Oryzias latipes: one gene and its partner. The main gene of each other region encodes a partner of the protein of the gene in region 2 in a complex. Links are inferred from orthologs where the notes say so. Each region holds a gene or a part of one and is shown on either strand. Other genes may lie near its edges. The genes, in order: bsg and XK-related protein 8.

Region 1 (9,810 bases), on a different chromosome or scaffold from region 2:
TGCTGAGCACACATACCAGCGAAGAAGATAGACGTCAAGTAGCGTCTACACTGCCGCGAAGAAATAATGACGGACATTCTTAAATATCCCTTACCAAGTACCAGTTGGAGCTACTGGTGCTTGAAATATTCATGTTTTCTTTTTATTATTCTGACTAGCGCGTAAATACTTGCTCTCTTCTTCTGAGTGAAAAGCGACTTTAAGAAGCCTAAAGTTGCGCAGCGCCACCTTGTGTACAGGAGTATTTCTGTTTACATTAAGCGCCATCTAATGTCAGGGAAGGAAATTGCATGTTCATGCACGCTCGGCTCATCGTCAGCGAAAATCGCCTGGGTGTGAACACAAAAGACGTGGCGAAAAACGCTGGCGAATAACGCCTGGCGAATATTCATCCCGGTGTGTACGGGCCTTTAGACAGGGAGCTGTGAAGAGAAGTGACGTTAATGTTGTTACGAAGTTTGTATGTGTTCAAAATTTCAAAAAAGTTAAAAAAAACAGCTTGTATGCTCTTTGAGACTGCATGGGGTCGTGCAGAGTATAGGGCACGGACAAAAACGTGCCATACCGAAACAGTTCAGCTTAACTTGTACTGTTACACCCCTAATTTTCAAAGTGATCTCAGTTGTCTTTTTACCATGAGTGTGGTGTTTTTGGTCCAAATGTAAGAGTTTCTGCAGAGCGACAGGAAGTCATTAAAAATTGCCGCAGTGGCTCACCTAGCACGATTTCTACATCAGAAATACGATCTTTTTCAAACAGTATTTTTTTCCCTTCGGCTTAAAACACAAATATAGTGTACTTATAGTAAGCCTTTTTGTTATGTAAATAGGAAATTAAGGTCAGGAAAAAAATTGGCGCCCTTTGCCCTGGAGTGAAGCCGAATGTCTTCACGGTCCATCTATACATCATGGATGCAACCAGAGGCAGAATAGTTGGGAGCAGCAAACCAGAGATAGAAAACTAGATGATGCAACAGCACTTTGATGAGAGAGAAAGTCTAGAAAGTATACATTCTCGTTGAAGGAATGCGTTTTTGTAAACCATTTCAGTTGGACAGGAAATTCAATGACAAGAGAAACTGCACATCTTCCCATTCAGCTTTTAGCTGCTGCATTTTCTTACCGATGAACTGCATAATTAGTAGCAGAAGCAGACTTTGAACCATCAATGAGTTTGCCGTTGTGCGTCCAGAAGGATCCAGAACTTTGGAGGCTAGTGCTGGTCAAGTTGCAGCTGAGACTGGCAGAAGTCTGGTTGACCACATCAGGAGATTTCAAGATACGTGGCTCTTCACAAAACAAAACAAAAAAAGACCATATAAAACAGCTCCATACACAGCTGTATAATCACCATTTATGTCACCCACGTGAATGTTGTTAAACACAAGCATTGGCCGTTCCAAATCGTTCCATATTTACAGTAACTAATGTGTAAATATGGGCCACAACAGACGGTTGTTGCTATTCATCCTATTCTACTCAAAGGAGGAGATGGAGAAAGCTCCTCCAAGTGACGAGCTTTCTCCAGTTGATGACAAAACAAAAAGGGAAGTGGAAACAATGCTACAGAAGGGTCACGAGGGTGTGTGTGTGAGGTGTCTTCAATACATGCAGAAGAAGCAACAAAGTTTGCTAAACAGTAGAGGTTACAGCACAGCAATTTAACCTTAAATCAAATGTTTTATTTCAAATACAAGCGGGAAGACAGAAAGAAAAATGCTGTGTGGATGCACATATTTTACAGTCTGTTGTCTTCTTCTGAGCTAATGGGAATCTAAACTAGAAAAATGTCTATAAGCAGAGGAAAAAGGAACGTTTCCAGTGTTAGTAAGAGGAAAAGAACCTTTTCCACCTAACAGCAGCGTAAATCTAGACATTTAACAACTTTTGTTTTTAAAACATCAAAAGTATGCGTTTTACTTTAACAAACTGCAGTGATGAAAGTCAGGCAAGGAAAAAATCCCTGAACTTTTCTTTGAGCGATATGGCGGGCACAGAGCGAAATTTTGGAAAAATACGTGGTCTTAGATGCATTCTGGTGCATTCTGGCAGCTAGTTATTCACTTCTTTATCAAGAAACTAAGACTAATTGGAGCATCATGATTTGTCATTCAAACCCCTAGTTTGACTCTCCATTAAAGACTTGCTGGTCCTAAAAAAGAATTTGGAAAATTGCTCAAAGTAACACAATCCTACAATCTACGCTTTTCCTTAAAGCTGCAAAACATACAATTGCTAAAATATAGTAACATCAAAGCCCCAAATGGCAAAAAGAACACCAGTAACTATGATATTCTATGAAAATACCTCAGTTATTTATACATTATTTCTGCTTTAGAAATGACTGATGTACAACATCCACTTGCACTGTTTTCTCAAACTATAATTACATCAAAATATGGGATCTGCTTTAAACTATAATTCTATAACATAATACATCAATTCTTTAACACCAATACTAAGTAATCTGGGAAATATCAAAACAAACATACAAACTAAGCTAAACATTGTAAACATTATTTTTTAAGGGAGTGCGGGTCCAAACCATCAAATACTTATAATTAATGTCAACTATGGTTTGTGGCGCCTTCCGTCCGTGAAACCCGGGTTCGACTCCGGGCTGCTCCCTGTTCCCTTCTCTACCTTTGCCGGTTCCAAGCCCAGTTTGAGAAGGTTGCGTCAGGAAGGGCATCCGGCGTAAAACATTGCCAAATTTACCATGCGACTTGTTCGCTGTGGCGACCCCTGATGGGAGAAGCCGAAAGTGGAAGAAGAAGAAGAATGTCAACTATACTGAACTAAATCGTGGTAATTAGGAAATACAAATAAATTAGATAAAGAAATGTATTCAAAATAAAAACTGAAACTCAAAACTAAAATTGAAATTATTTCAAAATGTGGTTTTGAGATTATTTTACACAAAAAAGTATTTGACCTACACTACCTTAAAAATCTTTTTTTTTTTTCCAGCCAAGACCACTTCAATTTGTTTTTTATCGTCTTCTCACAACTGAGGTCGTGAGCACGCTCAATAATGACGATGCCTGCCATTATTTTAACACAAATTTGATCGCAAACTCTTCAGATGTGTTTGTGAAAGTTTAGCGTGGGTCCGCCAGTTTTGGTCTCTAGGGAAGCAAGTCACGCTGACCACGTGGTGCAGACAGAGCCAATCAGACCCGTCGACGCATCCGAAAGCAACTAAAACGTCCCGTCATTGGTCAATTAGGCCGGGAAGACGAGAGATGGCCACGACCATAGAGGAAGCGATCTGCGGAGAAATATAGAAAATAAAGCTAAAATTAGCTGATTTCAGACCATTTTTTAATCCGGAAAGCGATTTGTCCGTAGAGATCAGGTCTTTATTTCCCGGAAAGTACGTTCGGTTTGCTCAAAAACCCGGATTTCCGGGAATTCCCGGAAGACTTTCATCACTGAAACTGCCAAATTTCCACCTCAGTCCAGTGTTTCATAGATTTTATTTATGGAAAAAGATATAAAAATTTGTAGGAAGGGTTACTTAAGGCATCAGGTTGAAGGAAGAAAACGTTCGCGTCGGGTGATAAAGGATCAGCCAGAACAGGTTTTTTGGCCACTTTCACCTTCTACAGGAGAGCTGTTGTGCTTTTGGAGAGGGGAGAACACACTAGATGAAGGGAAGGGAGGGAACTGGACCAGACAACAGGACAGTTGTGTGGACAGGATCTAAGAGGTCCACAACTTCACTAATGCAGATATGACCACTCTGACCCGACTCTCCTCGGGGTTCTTCTGTCACTCACTTTCAATCACAATAATGTTTGCCTGCGAGCGGATCCACTTGATTTTTGGAGTCTTCTTCAGATCATTGCGGTCGGGGTCGTTGGAGGCACGACACTCGTACGTGCCCGTGTCCTCAAGGGAAAGTCTGGTGAGGTGAATGGTGCTTGCGGCGTGTTCGATATATGTGGCGTTGATTTTTACACGGTTGTTATGAGCCCCATCAAACAGCTGGGTGAAAGTCTCGTTGGACTCTTCCCCTTCAACAAACCACCACTGAACTTCTGGTATGGGGTACCCTATCACCTCACAATGCAGCTCTGCACTGGCATCGATCAGTTTCATTTGAGACAGGGGGGATCGGATAAAACCCGCTGATTAGCAGCAGACCCAGCAAGCAGATGAATTTAGAAAGTGATGAGTTCAAATGGGCGGATGATAAAAATGAAATGTTAGGGAAGAAAAAGAATACAGAAAGAGAAAGAAAAAATGTTAAAATGAAAATATGACAGCAGACAGATGAATAAGGAAATTTTATCACATTGACTGATTCATCTGACTAAATTTGGAATGATCAAAGCAGACATCAATATAGGATAAATAAATAAAAAACAGATAATTATGGTAATGAGCACAAAGAGCTTGATGATCATCCCTAAAATATATATGACAAGAATGGTAGCAACAGAGCATTCACTCAATGACTAAACAAAAAGGTAAACAGAGAAAAATGTAGGAAGCACATTTACTGAGCTGGACCGAGGAACTTAAAGTAGGTTAACAGGATTGTTCATCAACTGAATGGGGGCTCTGTTTGGAGCATATCTGAGCGTGGAGACTGCAGACGACACATTCTGGTTTATAATTAAATATTTTGAAGATGAGGCTGCAGAAAACATCATCTGAGATCTGAGTGAAAGGTTTGAGAACAACAGAAAATGAGGGGAGGAGCTCAGTCTGCAGAGCGTGACCACATTCCTGTGTGGGGATTAATAAGAAAACCAAGTCATCTGCTGACGAATCTCATCTTTGGGGCAAAACAGACAAACTGGAGCTGTTGAGAGGGTGTGGTAATGCTGGTTATTGTCTTAACACCCCCCATTCAACAAACTACACTTGTAATGGCTTCCTGCTGTTGAAAGGTCACCTTCACAGCAAAGGCTTTTTTTAAAAGTTCAAATTAAATATAGCCCACACAACATTCACTCCTCAATCTTGACAATGCCATTTATAACAAAGCTTTATTTAGATATGCCGTGTAAAAAAAAAAAAAATCTCCTACCAGAGAGCAGCAGACTTCGTTTATCCAGGTTTAACTTTAAAGGAGAATGCTTCAGATGCTAGTTTTGTGCCTAACACTGCAAACTATTAAAAGATAGGGTGCCCGATGAAGAATTACGGTTCTTTTCCTAGTTTAAATAATGAAAATGTTAACCAGAGTACCAAACGGACACAGATTGATCCTCTGGGAAAAACACGAACGTTTTGTTTGTTTGGATCGGTTTTCGTTCGGACATGAGTCGGGAGTCCGAGAACACCTCCCCGGACGCCGGTGGAGGAGCGCGCGAGACAAATACCGCGTGACCGTCGTCCTTAATATGCCGCTTTCATCGAATCCACAGCGAATGGTCGCCATTTAATAACGATAATCACTTCAAACATTACGCAATTACGAATACACCGGACGCTCACGTGATACCAAACATGTTGGTGTTAAATATTCCATGTACCACATAGGCCATTACGTAAGGCATTCTGACAACAAAATACATCTAAAATTCATTTTAATCAACAAACAGACAGAAAATTTTTCTGGGTCGCCAACAACAACTAGCTAATGTCTTGCTAGCCGAAACGTCGATTTTATAGAACCGGTCTCTAGGGAACAATGTGTCCAAACCGTACAGCCCCACGGTGGGGATTCTACAGGTTTAATACAGATGTCTAGCTGGTATAACATCGGAAATTTAAACTGCTAAAGTCAGAAAAAAACATGAAATGTTAGCGGTAGGGCAAAGTCAACATGGCCGACATGACTTTTTTACCTGTGGCGGCGTTAGCGCGACAACAGCCCAGAAGGAGGGCGGTGACGGCCCACAAGAACTTCATGGTCTACTGCGGAAACTCTAGTCCGACCAAAGAATCGAGACGGTCGGTCAGCTCAGCCTCCTTCCACAGTGAGTCTAACGTCCAACGGGCAGAGCCGGCAGACCACTCCGCAGACTTCGTCCTCTCCTATGACTTAACGGACACGCCCTTACCAGCACGTATGCGTGACGTCATCATAGTGGGTGTGGCTTTGAAATCCTATAAGTTTCGTGTTTTTGCCTTTTTTTTGTTTGTGTAAGCGAACCATACATATTTGTTCTATTTGTGTTGAATAATAAAGTTTATTAAAAAAAATAAAACAAGCGAACCGTAGACCCTGGAAACTGTCAGGCGAGGTTAAACCGCGGCGTTCAGATTGAAGGCTTCAGAACAAATCAAGTTTAAAACCTTTGAAAGACCCACTCCGATGAAAATTGTGTTTTAACATGCTCTTATAGTATTTTTCTGATGACGAAGGACGCATAGAAAGAAAATTAAGATTAGAATTGCAGTGCTGAGTATTTTGTTTTGTTCTTGTTTCAAATCGTTGTGAATCAACAGCAGGCGAGAAAAAAGCAGTTGAAAAAAAATTGTGTTGACGTAGAAAATACGCTGGGCACGCCACAAGCTGGACTACATGGTAGTGTAGTGGCTCTCGCCTCATATCTAGAAGGCCCCGTTTGAATCCCGGTTGTGACCTTTCTGTGTGGAGTTAGCATGCTCTCCCCGCGCATGCGTGGGTTTTCTCCAATTTTCTCTCACAGTCCACACTGGTTAATTGTTTCCTCTAAGGCAGGGGTGTCAGAATTCAGCCCTCGAGGGACGGTGTCCAACATGGTTTCCATCCAACTTGTCAGTGAAGCTTCAAATTGGCTAAACACACCTGATACAGGTTAATCAGTAGCAGATAAGGCAGGATTTCTGGAATACTAGCAGCAGACCAGCCCTCCATACCAGGGGTTTGATACCCCTGGGGGGAATTCCAGAAAGCATGTTTAAACTATCCTGACTTTAATCCTGAACTCTGGCTGAAATCCGCCTGAACTTGCTTACTCTGGGTATGTCGGTTCCAAAAGACCGGATATGAGTTGGCGTAATTACGCTTGACTTGGTAACCCTGGGTTAACGCACGTGCACGTCAAGTACATAAAGTCATTCTCAATGGATCGCCGATTTCCGGAGTCACCATGGAAAGGCGTGGAGAAAAAAAAGAGAGCGCTGTACTTCAGTGAGACGGAGTCTGAGATTTTACTGACGGCGTATGAAGATTATTATACGTCCATCAATAAATTAATACGGCTGCATCAGCAAAAGAAAGAGTTTCTGCTTGGAGAAAAAGAATGGACAAAGTAAACACAAGAGTTTCTGATCTAATTTTCATTGTGACGCATATATAACTTATCCAACTTAAATTAATTCAATTGGTTACAAGTAATTGAGTTAAATTTATTCAACCTAATTTCTTACGTCTATCCAACTCAATATTTTTTTACAACTCAAATTTACATTTTTATCTAACTAAATGTAATATTACTCCAATTCAAATAATAATCTTCATTTATTGTAATTCTTGAACTCTCAAATGTCTAAATTTGAGCCTGCAGATATACTCATTTTTATAACAATAAAATGAATGAAAAAAATACATATAAATCACAAGGAATATTCATGCCTCTGAATTATTCGTTACACCGCGACAAAGTAGGGGTGCTATATAAACTCATCATCCTCTCCCTCCCTCTCACTCATGGTGCAGAAAGGATTCAATATAACAGTACAAATAACTGTGCAAAACAGCTAAACAACTAAACACATTTGGTCAAAAATCAACACTCAAACCCAAATCCGTCCAGACAGGCAAAGGGAATGGTATCCCACAATCCCTTGCGGTGTCGATCTAACAGCAGCACCAAAGTTAGATCTACTTAATTGAATTGATTTGAATGAAAGCAAAATAAATGTCTGATAACTATGTGTTATTTTTAAGATGACTTAACTAGAATTGATTTATCTTAACTAAAGCAAATAATTAAGTCAGAGCAAAGTAAAAAAGTTTATTTTTCCAACATCCATATGTGGTGTAATCACCCTCTCACGGTGGAAAAAGTATTATCTGAGCTTCTTCATCCACTAAATCATCTTCAAATGGACACGCCATGCTGCTTCACCTCTCTGACAACAAACTAACCTTCAACTAAACCTGCTCCAGACCAGGTTATGTTAAGAGCTTGAGTTGCTATGGCAACTTGACATATCCTGAAACATACCTCTGTTTTTGGAACCGAAAGCAGTGGTTGTACTTCTTTAGCCTCAAACTTACTGCGGGAGCTAGCATTAACCTGCTTTCTGAAATACCCCCTGATATTGCTCGCTGTATGTATTGCACTAATGTTAGCTTGGGGCTGTGAGCTAGCAGGAGAGCATGTAAACAGAGAGCTCTCAGCAACAGGTGAATGGTAAGTGGACTTGCTCTGGGCAAACCGTCCCTCCCACAACTCTGATGAATATTTGATGAACTTCTGTCACTTTGCAGAAACTATGTTCTTGAAAACAACACAGGTTTTTAGATTTTGGGTATAAACAGCATCAACATAATTAAAAATCTACTAGGAACAATTTCAAAATTCATCAAAAGATGATCAAAGTGGGACTTTAAACTCTTTGGAATTGAATAAAACAATATAAACTGCCTGGAGTTTTCACACGTACCCATTTGCATTTTTGATGTCATTTATTTAAGAAGAAAAAACCCAATAAGAATACCATGTGTTTTTATACATTGCCCTGTGAGCTTAAGAAAATAAATCTCCTTAAAGAAATCTCCTTATTTCAGCTTTCCACATTTTAATCTGCAGTTATTTTGATGATAAAAATGTTTGACCTCTATTCATCTGTCAAAAAGAAAAACATTTAATTGAGGGAAATCACCTGCAGGTAACTAGAGAGAGAGAGATGACCTGAATCTATAGGTCCTGCTGACCGCATACTGTAGATGACTGACTGATGGCACATTCATTCCCTAATAAAATGGCTGTCATGAGAGCAAATGGATGAACATGCAAGGAATGATGGGAATCCTAACCTTTGAACATCTTTCATCACAGCAGCCCTTACAATCCTTATTCTCTTCTGAATAAACAAAAGTCCATGTTTTGGTCACTAACTGCGGTCTTATTCGTAGCTTAAAAATGGTGACAAAGTCTCACAATAAGGTGCAATTCATCACTAATTGTTAAAGTGCTTTATAAATAAAGTTTGGTTGGAGATTTACATTGTCAAGTTACCTCCCCAAGTCTCTAAATCAAACCTGCCCCCCCACTCCTAAGAACAATCCTGAGACTCAGGCCTTTGATGCTAAAACCCCGGGGTACCAGAGAGGCACAATGCAGAGCAGAAACACCCTCACGGCTGAACAATGAATGGAAGTAAAATGTAATTCTCCTCTTGATGTAGAACAAACCCGAACGGCAGTGACGGATTTCAGACGGAGCTTGTTTACTCGTGCAGTTCTCCCTTTGAAGGACCATGACCTGAAAACCTTCTTATCCATTGAAAGTCCACAAGTGTTCGCTAAAGTGTTTATTGTTCCCAGCTGCTGTGCAGCTCTGCAATGCATCAAAAGAAACACCATTAGAGTGGAAAACAATCCTGCCCTCAGAAAATAAATACATAAAAGCATGTTTTCTATTGATTTGTTTGAGCGGGCTATCTTTCCACAGATTTGACTGTGATCACGCTCCAAAAAGCTGATCTAAAAAGCATCATGGCCATAACAGACGTGCAATGAGCACCCAATGATTTCATTTCAAAACGGTTTAGTAAGGAAAATAATTAATTTTGTCTTAGAAATTTCAGAAGCTGTCGTCCAACTAAAATGCTGTGACGTTTTTCCAGGTGCAATCTGAGAAAGTTGAATGCTTTTATTACATTTTAGATTCATTTTGCAATTTGCAAATGTAACTTA
Region 2 (9,852 bases):
AAGTAAAAATGGGTTTTAGTACTTTACACCCCCCCCCCCCACCCCCAAGTGCGATGATATAAATTTGATGCGCAGCAGCCACCAAAGACAAGATTGATGAATTTACACCCCTCCAGTTCAGATCAGAATAATTTACATTTATGTGAAACAAGCAAGGATTTCAAGTGAGAACTTACTCCTCCCGCCGCCGCCGTAGCCACCATCTCGGCGAGGGCCCTTGGTGTGCTCCACGATGACCCTCTCGCCGCACAGCTCTTTACCGTTCAGGTCATACACGGCATCATCTGCGTCCCGCGGATCATCAAACTCAACAAAGCCATACCTGCAAGACGTGAGAGGAAACACTAAGGAACGCCGTCGTCTGAATCACCAGAAAACAGGTCAAACAAGCAGGAAAATCACGGTTTTAAAGATATTAGGCAGTGAAAGATCCTAAAAAAGAAAATATTTGGAGATGCAGGGAATTTTACAAGGAAGTATCAATACCCCCATTAAAGAAAAACATAAAATAAAAAAGAATAAAGTCATAATAGTATGAGAAAGAAAGCAAACTAATATGAGAATAAAGTTGCAAAACTGAAATAAAAAGGTTGACATTTTATGAGAATACACTCACAAAATTATAGGGAGAAAAGGTCAGAATTACAAGGAAAAGCCATGCTTTTGTTTTTATAAAGTTGGTTGTATAAACGTCCATCCACATTACAACTATATCCACCAATATACCCATTTATAGTGATGCCATAAGGCTTTATTTCAGTGGTGTCAAACTCATTTTCACTGAGGGCCACATCAGCATAGTGTCTGTCCTCAAATGGCCGGATAAAACTTATACATGTAACTAAATGTAATGAAAAATAAATGTTACTACTCCTTAATGTTAAATAACCCATCCAATTGAATAAAGAAAAATTACATAAAACTGATCTAGAAAGACCATGTATTACACGTGTAACATTTTACAAAAAAAGGCTGCACACTGCCTTTCATCCAACTGATGACAACAGTTTGAATACACACACACACACAATACCTGCAAACATTGAATAATTACATCAACTACACATAAATATGTAATTAACTAAATTTTTTACTTTATAAATTAAAACCCTTTATTCTCTCGCGGGCCACATAAAACGACATGATGGGCCACATTTGACCCGCCGGCTTTGAGTTTGACACGTGTGCTTTCGTTAATCATAAGAATCCATGTTCCATGATGCATTTGGACCACTGCAGCTGTACTGCTGCCAAAAATTCACTCTTGGGGTCAAGAGTCTTTTTCTGAAGAGGTTCAGTTTTTAATGTCTTCATAGCTATAATAAAGCAATGACGACTTACTAAAAGACGTACTTATTTGTGAAACCAACGCTGAAACTAAACACAAAGTGCTCTACATCTCGTATAGTGAAACACAATATTGTTTTTGTCTCAAATGTGTGACTTTAATCTCCAAATTCTCAACCTCTAACTTATTAAGTAATAATGGTATTCCTATAAAATAAGACATTTTTTACACATTCAATGACTATTCTCATAAAACAATGACTATTTTTCTCAATTTTACAACTTTGTCATTTTTTTTCCACGGTAGCTCTAAAAATCCATCATAGAATTGACACCTGAAGAATCAACAATTTATGGCTTCAAAACAAGATGCAACTCCGACGTACTAGCACAGATGGAGGCCTGCATTCGTGCTTTGTTTTCCCCAACATTACCTGCTGTGGTCTGCTCTAATTGGCTGGATGCACCTGACCCAGGTAATGAGCCATGAGCCTAACGTGAATATCTAGACACCATGCACACACCAGGCCTTTAGGCCTGGTATTCTCCAGCCTGATCTTTACAATAACAAGCTCTTATCTCCAGATAGTCATAGAGGGAAGGAAATCACAAACCTAAATATGTCAAACTTGAAAAAAATTTAGTGAAAAAATATATTACCATGACCTTTTAGAAAACAGGGTCTGAATTGTTGATTTGCAAATATTTCAAGATAACGACAAAAAATGTTTAAATACAATGCATCATGTTGGGTACAAACAAAATGAGGGCAAATAATTCGGTTTGTTAGAATTGTGGCAGGTTGTGTAAAATGTGGATATTTGATGTAAACAGGCTTTGCGCTTAAATCTCCAATCTTAAAAAATAGAAACATTTTGAATTGCATTGATTGCATAGACATGCATTGACATAGACAGTCAATGGTACATGCATCGTGCAGATTTTAAGGGCGCTTTTGACTGTAACGGGGCCGGTGAGACGGACGCTGGTTGGAGGATTATTGAAACAGATGCACGAACTAAAGAAGCAGAACCGATCGGATAAATCTGTCTTTAACAAAGAATTTAGCCGGTTTCTGCTCTTTTTTTAAACCCCAAACGTCGCGGATGGTCTTTTTCCGCCTCTGCCACGTCTTATGCTAGCCTGAAGGAGCTAACTAATGATGCTCAAAACTTTAATATATTGAACCGAAAACCGGACTTTAATTGCGCAAAAGAGCAGGGAATTGTTTAAATAATACTGCAATAAGCATTAAATCACTTTGGTGTCGTGTTTAGTTCAATAAAAGCTGATAATTCTGACGATGTCGGCAGGTCCGGCCTGCTAGCAAGCACCCGCGAGGCCGTGCGCGCGCGGCTTTCCGCGAGGCCTGTAGCTTCCACAAAACGTTACCCGTTTTTCAGGTCGACCTCCAGGATTTTTCCATAACCTTTGAAGAACCTCTCCACGTCCTTTTCCCTGGCTCTGTAGCTCAGTCTTCCGATATACACCCGCGACATCCTCTGCGGCTCCGAAGAATCAAAACGCGCCCGAACAAACTAGCTAAACACGCGGAGAAGCAAGGCTGCACAAAGCTCTTTTCATACAATAGGGCGCCGTCAGAGGGGGAGGGGCCTGTTGGGTTTTGGGTGCCCTGAGTTTAGCCTTCAGGTAAAGGAGTTCTCCTCACATGCCGCCTTTCACCAAGTCTAGTGTTTTTTCCCGGAACATTTTCACCGAGTTTCTGGTTATAAAACTTAAAATAAAGAAAGAAACTTTTGCTAATTTCTGAAGAGGTTGTTAATAAATCATAAAAATACTGAAAGAAGATTTTGTGGTCTCGTGCAATCTTTAAAAACTTGGGGATAATTCAGAAATCAGTGAAAGCTGAACACACGTCGAAACCTTTTATGACAAAAACTTTGAAGAATAGCTTTTACTTTTATTCATGCTTGATATTAATATTGACACAATATATTTTACATAAAAAATACTCAAGAACTGTACCTGAGTTGCTTCTCAGGACGAAACGTATACAAGGCAGCAGTGGATGCAGTTTATTTTCCCATACAAAATCACAAAGATTATTTTTTTTTTGAAATTATTAAAGAAAAATTTCTTAACATGTGTTGGTAATGATTGATTGGCAACCTATCTTCCTAAATCTGGGGTACATTAATTATTGAAGACAGTAAATATTGATGGTTTGAGCAGGTATTGTGTCCATTTGTGAGAAATTATGTTAGTGAGACCATAACAGCAGCATGGTTTATAAGGAATGTGAGTTTAGATTTAATAGTTTTCAACATTCACCGAAGACAGTTGACATACATATATAAAAATAGCATAGTAATGCAGGATAAAAGATGCTAAACTACTATAAAACCACATTTTTACATTCAAAAATAAATAAAAAAAGGCCTTGCAGAGAGGGCAAATTTAAATTACAAAACATTCAAACATATATGCAAAGACAGGCAACATGTCTGTGTCTAACATTGTTAAAAACCTATCAAAACTGACAGGAAGTTCAAAACGAAAAAAAGGATAAAGAAACCAATATGGATTCTATAAAGTAACAAAAAATAATATCTAAAATTCAAAATGTGCTGATTAAAAAAAGAGTAGTTTTAACAAATAATCTTAAAGTCATTGGAGAAGAGCACCAAATAATTCTGTCCATGGATAGACTGGACATTTGATTTTTTCATTCATTTGATTCTGCATAGCGCTAATGAGCTGGGCTTACACATACAATCTGGCAATTAAAATAGCACGTCTCAAAATATGCACATTGATTAATAAATAATAATTTTAATACCTTCTCCATCAACAATTGTCAATATTCCTAACTGAATCTTTAAACATCAAAAAGGCTTTCAGAAACCAGAATGTACATTGGATTAATCTAAGGCAGAGCTGGTCAACCCTGGTCCTTGAGAGCCACAATCCTGCTTGCTTGCCAGCTCTTGTTGACCATCTTTCTGCTGATTGGCTGACTCAAGTGATTCCACATCCCGACTAAATGCACCTGATTTCCAGTTCTCCCTGGACGAACTGGAAATCAGGCAGGGTTGAAGCTCTTGAGGATCAGGTTCGGCCAGCCCTGATTTAGGGTTAACATTCAATTAGGAGTCAAGAGGCGTGTTACTCTTTGAAATCTGCCCCCGCTGGTGTTCTGAGGAACTGCACATTCAGGAAGTACCTGCTAATCAGCTACTTTCTGATGTTGTCCACCATATTCCCTCAGGGGTTGTCACAGCAAATCATCTTTCACTGATTCCCACATTAAATACCCGGCACATGACCTTCCTGACACAACCCTGCATTTTATCCGGGCTGGCAACCGGTACAAGGAGACCCAGACTTAGGCCCACATGTGGCTACATGCAGCAGATTTACAAGAATCCTTTGTGTCCTTGATAAATACTTTGTAAACTTTTTGCATTACCTTATTTGCTGCACATTTTGACTGACTCCAAAGTTATCTTTATTTATATTGCTAAATTTTATATTTGTCAATGTTTGATTTTTCTTTTCAAAAACACAAAAAGCTAAATAATATTAGTAATAAGAATAATCTATCTATCTATCTATCTATCTATCTATCTATCTATCTATCTATCTATCTATCTATCTATCTATCTATCTATCTATCTATCTATCTATCTATCTATCTATCTATCTATCTATCTATCTATCTATCTATCTATCTATCGATAGATCAATAAGTTGTATTCATGAGTAAAATGGTTTTATTTGCAAAGTTAAACTTAAACCTTAACTGAGCTACTTGCCAGAAGACTCTTTAGTGTTCTGCCTTTAAATGTTTATTGAACCCTCTCACCCCACCCCGCACCCCCGTCCTAATTTCCTGGAGACGACCCTGCTACCAGTCATGAAAATAAATAATATTTCAAAAATTCATATAAAACAAGTATCTGAATAATACCTAATAATAAAAGGTCCAAGTTTGAAATGAACTTCCCTAGGTCCCGGGACTGAACATATGTGGTGGGCGGGGCTTGAACACTTACGAACCTCCGCCGGTTGTTTTCGTAACCTTTCGGACTCTCCGCCCGCTCAGCTCGTGTCCGGACTTCAGTCTGCCGCAGAGAACCGCTCCAATGTCTCCAAAGTTTGCCGAACTTTCCCGATCGCCCGGGCACGCGGGCTCGGCGGCGCCTCGGGGCGGGGAGTAACGGTCTGGGATGGTTTCCGAGTGTTAGCTTCGTCACAGCAACAGGTCCGCCATGCAGCGCGGCTGCTTCCCCAGGTACTCCTGGATCGACTTCGCCTTCTCCGTGATCGGGGTCTGCACCTTCCTGATGGACTGGGGCTCCGACCTGTGGGTGGCCGCCGAGTTTTACTGCCGTGGGGACCTTTCCTGGTTCGGGGTGCTGGTGGGCCTCATGATCCTGTCCTCGGTCGTGGTGCAAATGTTCAGCTGGTTCTGGTTCGTGTATGACCGGAAGTTGTCGGGCTTCGGGAGCAAAGTGGGGACCAACTCCGTGCTGTGCGGGGACCGAGTGAAGATCTTCTGCCTGCTGCACGTGCTGCAACTCGGCTTCTTCTGCAGGTCAGACCCGCAGCGATACACACAGATCCAGATCTAGATCTGGTTCCAGCTGTGGGTGTTTACACTGAACCAAACTGACTCAAAGTAAAAGTGATGAGGATTATCCTTCAACTAAGAAATGAATGTTAACCTTTAGTCATTGGAGCGTTTTTATTTATATGAAACAGAATCAGGGTTCTGGAGTCAACATGGATCATAAAGGCTGACAACTTCTTCACATGATGATTGTTTCCCAACACATGATGTAAATGCACATCCTTTGTTTTAGGTGTAAAGAGGAAGTCTGAGCAATTATGATTGACTAACTGAAGCATCAACCGGTTCCCATCAATTCTGCTTTCCCGCCTCAGGCACATCTCAGCCATCCGGCAGGGTTTCAGGGTGTGGTGGAGGAAGGAGGAGGGCTCGGAGTATGCCATCTACCTCACGCACGACCTGAGCATGCTCCGCTTGTTCGAGACGTTCTGCGAGAGTGCGCCTCAGCTCATCCTGATGATGTATGTCATGCTGCGCACCAACAGGGCCCGGGTCGTTCAGTGTGAGTCCAGTTGTCACTGTTGTCTTTCTAACCAGCTGGTTAAATCGTACGAACACGATGGATGCGCAGCAACAACTAAGTTCACCTAAACAAAATGCAGATCCCCACTTGCATGTAAAACCAAGATGTCGTCCTAGTGAATTTGAAGCATGTTTGATAATAAAATCGCCTGGAACCAACTCAGTTCTGAAGGTAACCACTGGAAAGCTCGTTACACTGTCAACTCAGTCTCCAGTCCAAAAAGCAATTCAGAATGACCCAACTTTACCTCAGAAATGAATGTATCTTGTCTTGCGTTGTGTTGCGTTTGTGTGCTGCATTTCCTGTTGTGTTTGTGTGTTTTGCACTCATGCGCTTCTTGTGGAATTAACTTGTGCCGTTCGTGTCTGCAGTTGTGAGCGTGGCTGCTTCCACCACCTCCATCGCCTGGATGGTTCTGGACTACCACCGCTCGCTGCGCTCCTTCCTCCCGGACAAAGCCCAGCAGGGGTGGGGCTCCTCAGTGGTCTACTTCCTGTGGAACCTGCTGCTGATTGGTCCCCGCGTGGCGGCCCTCGCCCTCTTCTCGTCCGTGCTACCTTTGCTCATTGTCCCCCACTTCCTGCTGCTGTGGTTGGCCTTCCTGCTGTGGGCGTGGCAACAGCAGACAAACTTTATGGACAGCGCTGTGGGGGAGTGGCTATACCGGGCCACCGTCGGACTCATCTGGTACTTCAGCTGGTTCAATGTGGCGGAGGGCCACACCCGGGTCAGAAGCCTGATCTACCATTCCTTCATGACGGCGGACTGTTGCCTCCTTCTGGTCACCTGGTGGTACCTGAGAGACGCGGCGCAGACAGAAGCGTACGGCCTGGCCCTGATCATTGCGCTGCCGCTTTCTTACCTGCTCGGGCTGCTCTTCAAAGCCATCTACTACTGTTGCTTCCACCCCAAACTGTGGCGGCCCCCACCGACTGAGGGGAGGCTGCCCAACGACCTGCCAGACTCTGAAGTGACCCTCAGATCCTTCTCCATCCAGGATGACAGTGTGTCCGCCCCAATCTTCAACAAGCGCATGGAACACCACGCTGCCCGCTTCTACTAAAAGGGAGGGGCCACACACCCAGTCAAGGCGTTGCCATGGCACCTACAGGCAAAGCGGTCGTCCAGACTTTTTCCTGTCAGTGACGCCTGCAGACACACAGGCGTTTCTATGAAAGTGAACAATAACTCAGGAGTTTGTTTATCCAATTATTTTTTTAATGAAACTCTTGAAAATGCAGGTAACCTGTAAGCAGAAGGATGTGTTCATGAATGTTTGTAAAAATGAAGATTTATATTTGTACCTGAAAATGCAACCAAAAAAAGGTTGAGAGGAAAATATTGGCTTCACTTTATTGTAACCTTAAGGCAATGTCCTTTTACGAAAAGAGTGCAAAAATGTCGACTTATTTTGTTCAACAATGATGATGAAAACATGGCAACCAAACATACCTTCTCTTTCCTTCCCTTCAGGCGAATGCATTTTTATGTCTATGCTTTCTTGAACATTCAGTCATGAGTTAACTGAAATGATTGAATTGACTTGGCGGCTTAGCCTGACTAGTTGTTGATATGAACATTGCAACACAACCTGAGAGAGCGTTGGTGAAGGTTTGCCATGGAGAAATGTTTTAAAGAACATGATTTCTACTCCAGTTGCCATGACTCAACTTCGCAGAGCCTAAAATACCACAGAAGAAATGCTTGTCATGTCTCCAAACCCCCGAAAAGCAATCAAATCCACTTGTTTATTTTTTATTTGACCATTTATCTTGTCTTGAGGTAAAAAACGCAGATACAAAAAAGGGAACTGGTTATTTTGAAAGAATTGGGTTAACCGTTTTCCTGTTGATTCTATAAAGAAGATCCATCTGATCCTGAAGTACAAGCCTCAGAACCCTTGTTGTATCCTATGGGGTCCAGATGACCCGATCCTTACATTGACGTGTTATCCCTACCATAACAAAGGTGGATCAAGGTGGAGAGGATTTCATGTAATCCATGGACACCAGTTAAGATCACAAATCATTGACGAAAAAGGATTCAACGCACTGTCTAGTGGGTCTAAATGACCCAGCTCCCAATGTTAAAGTGCCTAGGGTAGCACAAGGGTTAAGCTACGTACAAATGTTGATATTAGTCACCAAGTTTAGAAATGATCCTGTCCCGTCCCACTGCCATCCCATTCTCCTATAAAATGACTACCGTTTCTGTACTGCTCCCATATATTATCTTAATTTGGCCATCATTTAATGCATTACATGTTATTTCATCTCCTCCCATCCTGTTTTAGAGCAGCTCCGGAGCCCCTGTTTCTACATTTTACATAGTTTACATCTGTGTTTTTCAACCAGTGTGCCGTGGGAGATGGTCAGGTGTGCCATGGGAAATTGCCCTCATTAACTGATCTAAAAACATTTCCCATCTCCAGGATATCAGCTCTGTTTTCATCCAAACAGGCCCTGATAAAACACAGAGTAGTTAGGAATATGAAAGATCGTAAAAGACCTTTTTCTTTCTGTTTATTTGATTCTATTAAAGACACTTTGATAAGAATGACGGTACAGCGATTTAGCTGTAGCTTCAGATGTTTTCGGAAAAGTCCCGCCCCTTTAAATGCTTCCACCAATCATTCTTGGGCCCCTAATCATACGTTATCATTCTGACCAATCAGAAGTGGTTAAAGTCTTCACTTCCTTGTTCTGATTCTGCTCATAAAGTCGCTCAGTTCCAACGAAAATAACAGCTAAAGCTCGTCTTTAGCGGTGTAGCTTTCCGCGGGATCCGGTGTCTATGGAGTTAATTCAGTCTCAATAATCAGAAATGCACACAACCTGTTTCACAAATACACACACTCTTGTGTGCCGTGCACCTTCAGCTCTGACATCAGTGTGGTAGAAGCTGGAGAAAGTCTGAGAGGCCATTCGATTGACTGAAAGCGAGCACGCCTGCTTTCCTTTAAACGGAAATTTCCTTTAAACGTACAAACGGTTTAAACGGAAAACTTTATTGTGTTATTGTCAAACACAGCCTGCACATTTGTGAGAAACACTTATTGTGCATGTGTGAAACACAACAGGTGTGTTTGTGAAACACAGGGTGTGCATTTCCAAATTAATATTGCACGTTTGCGTAAAATTATATTTGTGAATCAGAGCGTGTGTATTTGTGAAACAGGTTGTGTGCATTTCTGATTATTAAGACTGAATTAACTCCATATTATTAAATTTATTATTAAATTTTTCAGCAATTCACAATAAATTTTTCAGAAATGCACAATAACTGCTTCAGCAACATCATTTTTCGTTACACTTGTAATATGAACTCACAGATCGTGCAAATTTTAGAATGTGCATTCCCAAACCCCGTCTCATTTGTGAATCTCCCCGCATTTTTGAGAGATTTTTCTATGGTGAGTATTGAGACTCCCTTCACGCTGCAGGTCAAC

What was found.
Region 1: the proteins of XK-related protein 8 (region 2) and bsg are in contact, whole or in part, in a cryo-EM structure (PDB 7DCE), measured with the Homo sapiens proteins. The link is inferred for Oryzias latipes from reciprocal best matches to the Homo sapiens genes XKR8 and BSG. Residues at the interface, in NP_060523.2 of Homo sapiens: His232, Leu236, Val239, Leu242, Trp243, Leu246, Gln247, Arg280, Gly283, Arg284, Ile287, Phe291, Ser294, Asp295, Leu298, Ala301, Thr302; in NP_001719.2 of Homo sapiens: Trp326, Pro327, Gly330, Ile331, Glu334, Val335, Leu338, Val339, Ile341, Ile342, Phe343, Tyr345, Glu346, Lys350.

Annotation. Positions count from the first base shown.
Region 1 is NC_019862.2:7,110,450-7,120,259, reverse strand, and holds the start of bsg (basigin), read right to left. Parts: upstream 6,015-9,810; 5' UTR 5,868-6,014; coding exon 5,804-5,867; intron 4,133-5,803; coding exon 3,782-4,132; intron 1,289-3,781; coding exon 1,123-1,288; intron 1-1,122.
Region 2 is NC_019869.2:19,746,413-19,756,264, reverse strand, and holds XK-related protein 8, read left to right. Parts: upstream 1-5,234; 5' UTR 5,235-5,519; coding exon 5,520-5,845; intron 5,846-6,195; coding exon 6,196-6,383; intron 6,384-6,775; coding exon 6,776-7,467; 3' UTR 7,468-8,162; downstream 8,163-9,852. Other genes in the region: serine/arginine-rich splicing factor 6, read right to left, coding at 177-322, 2,680-2,786.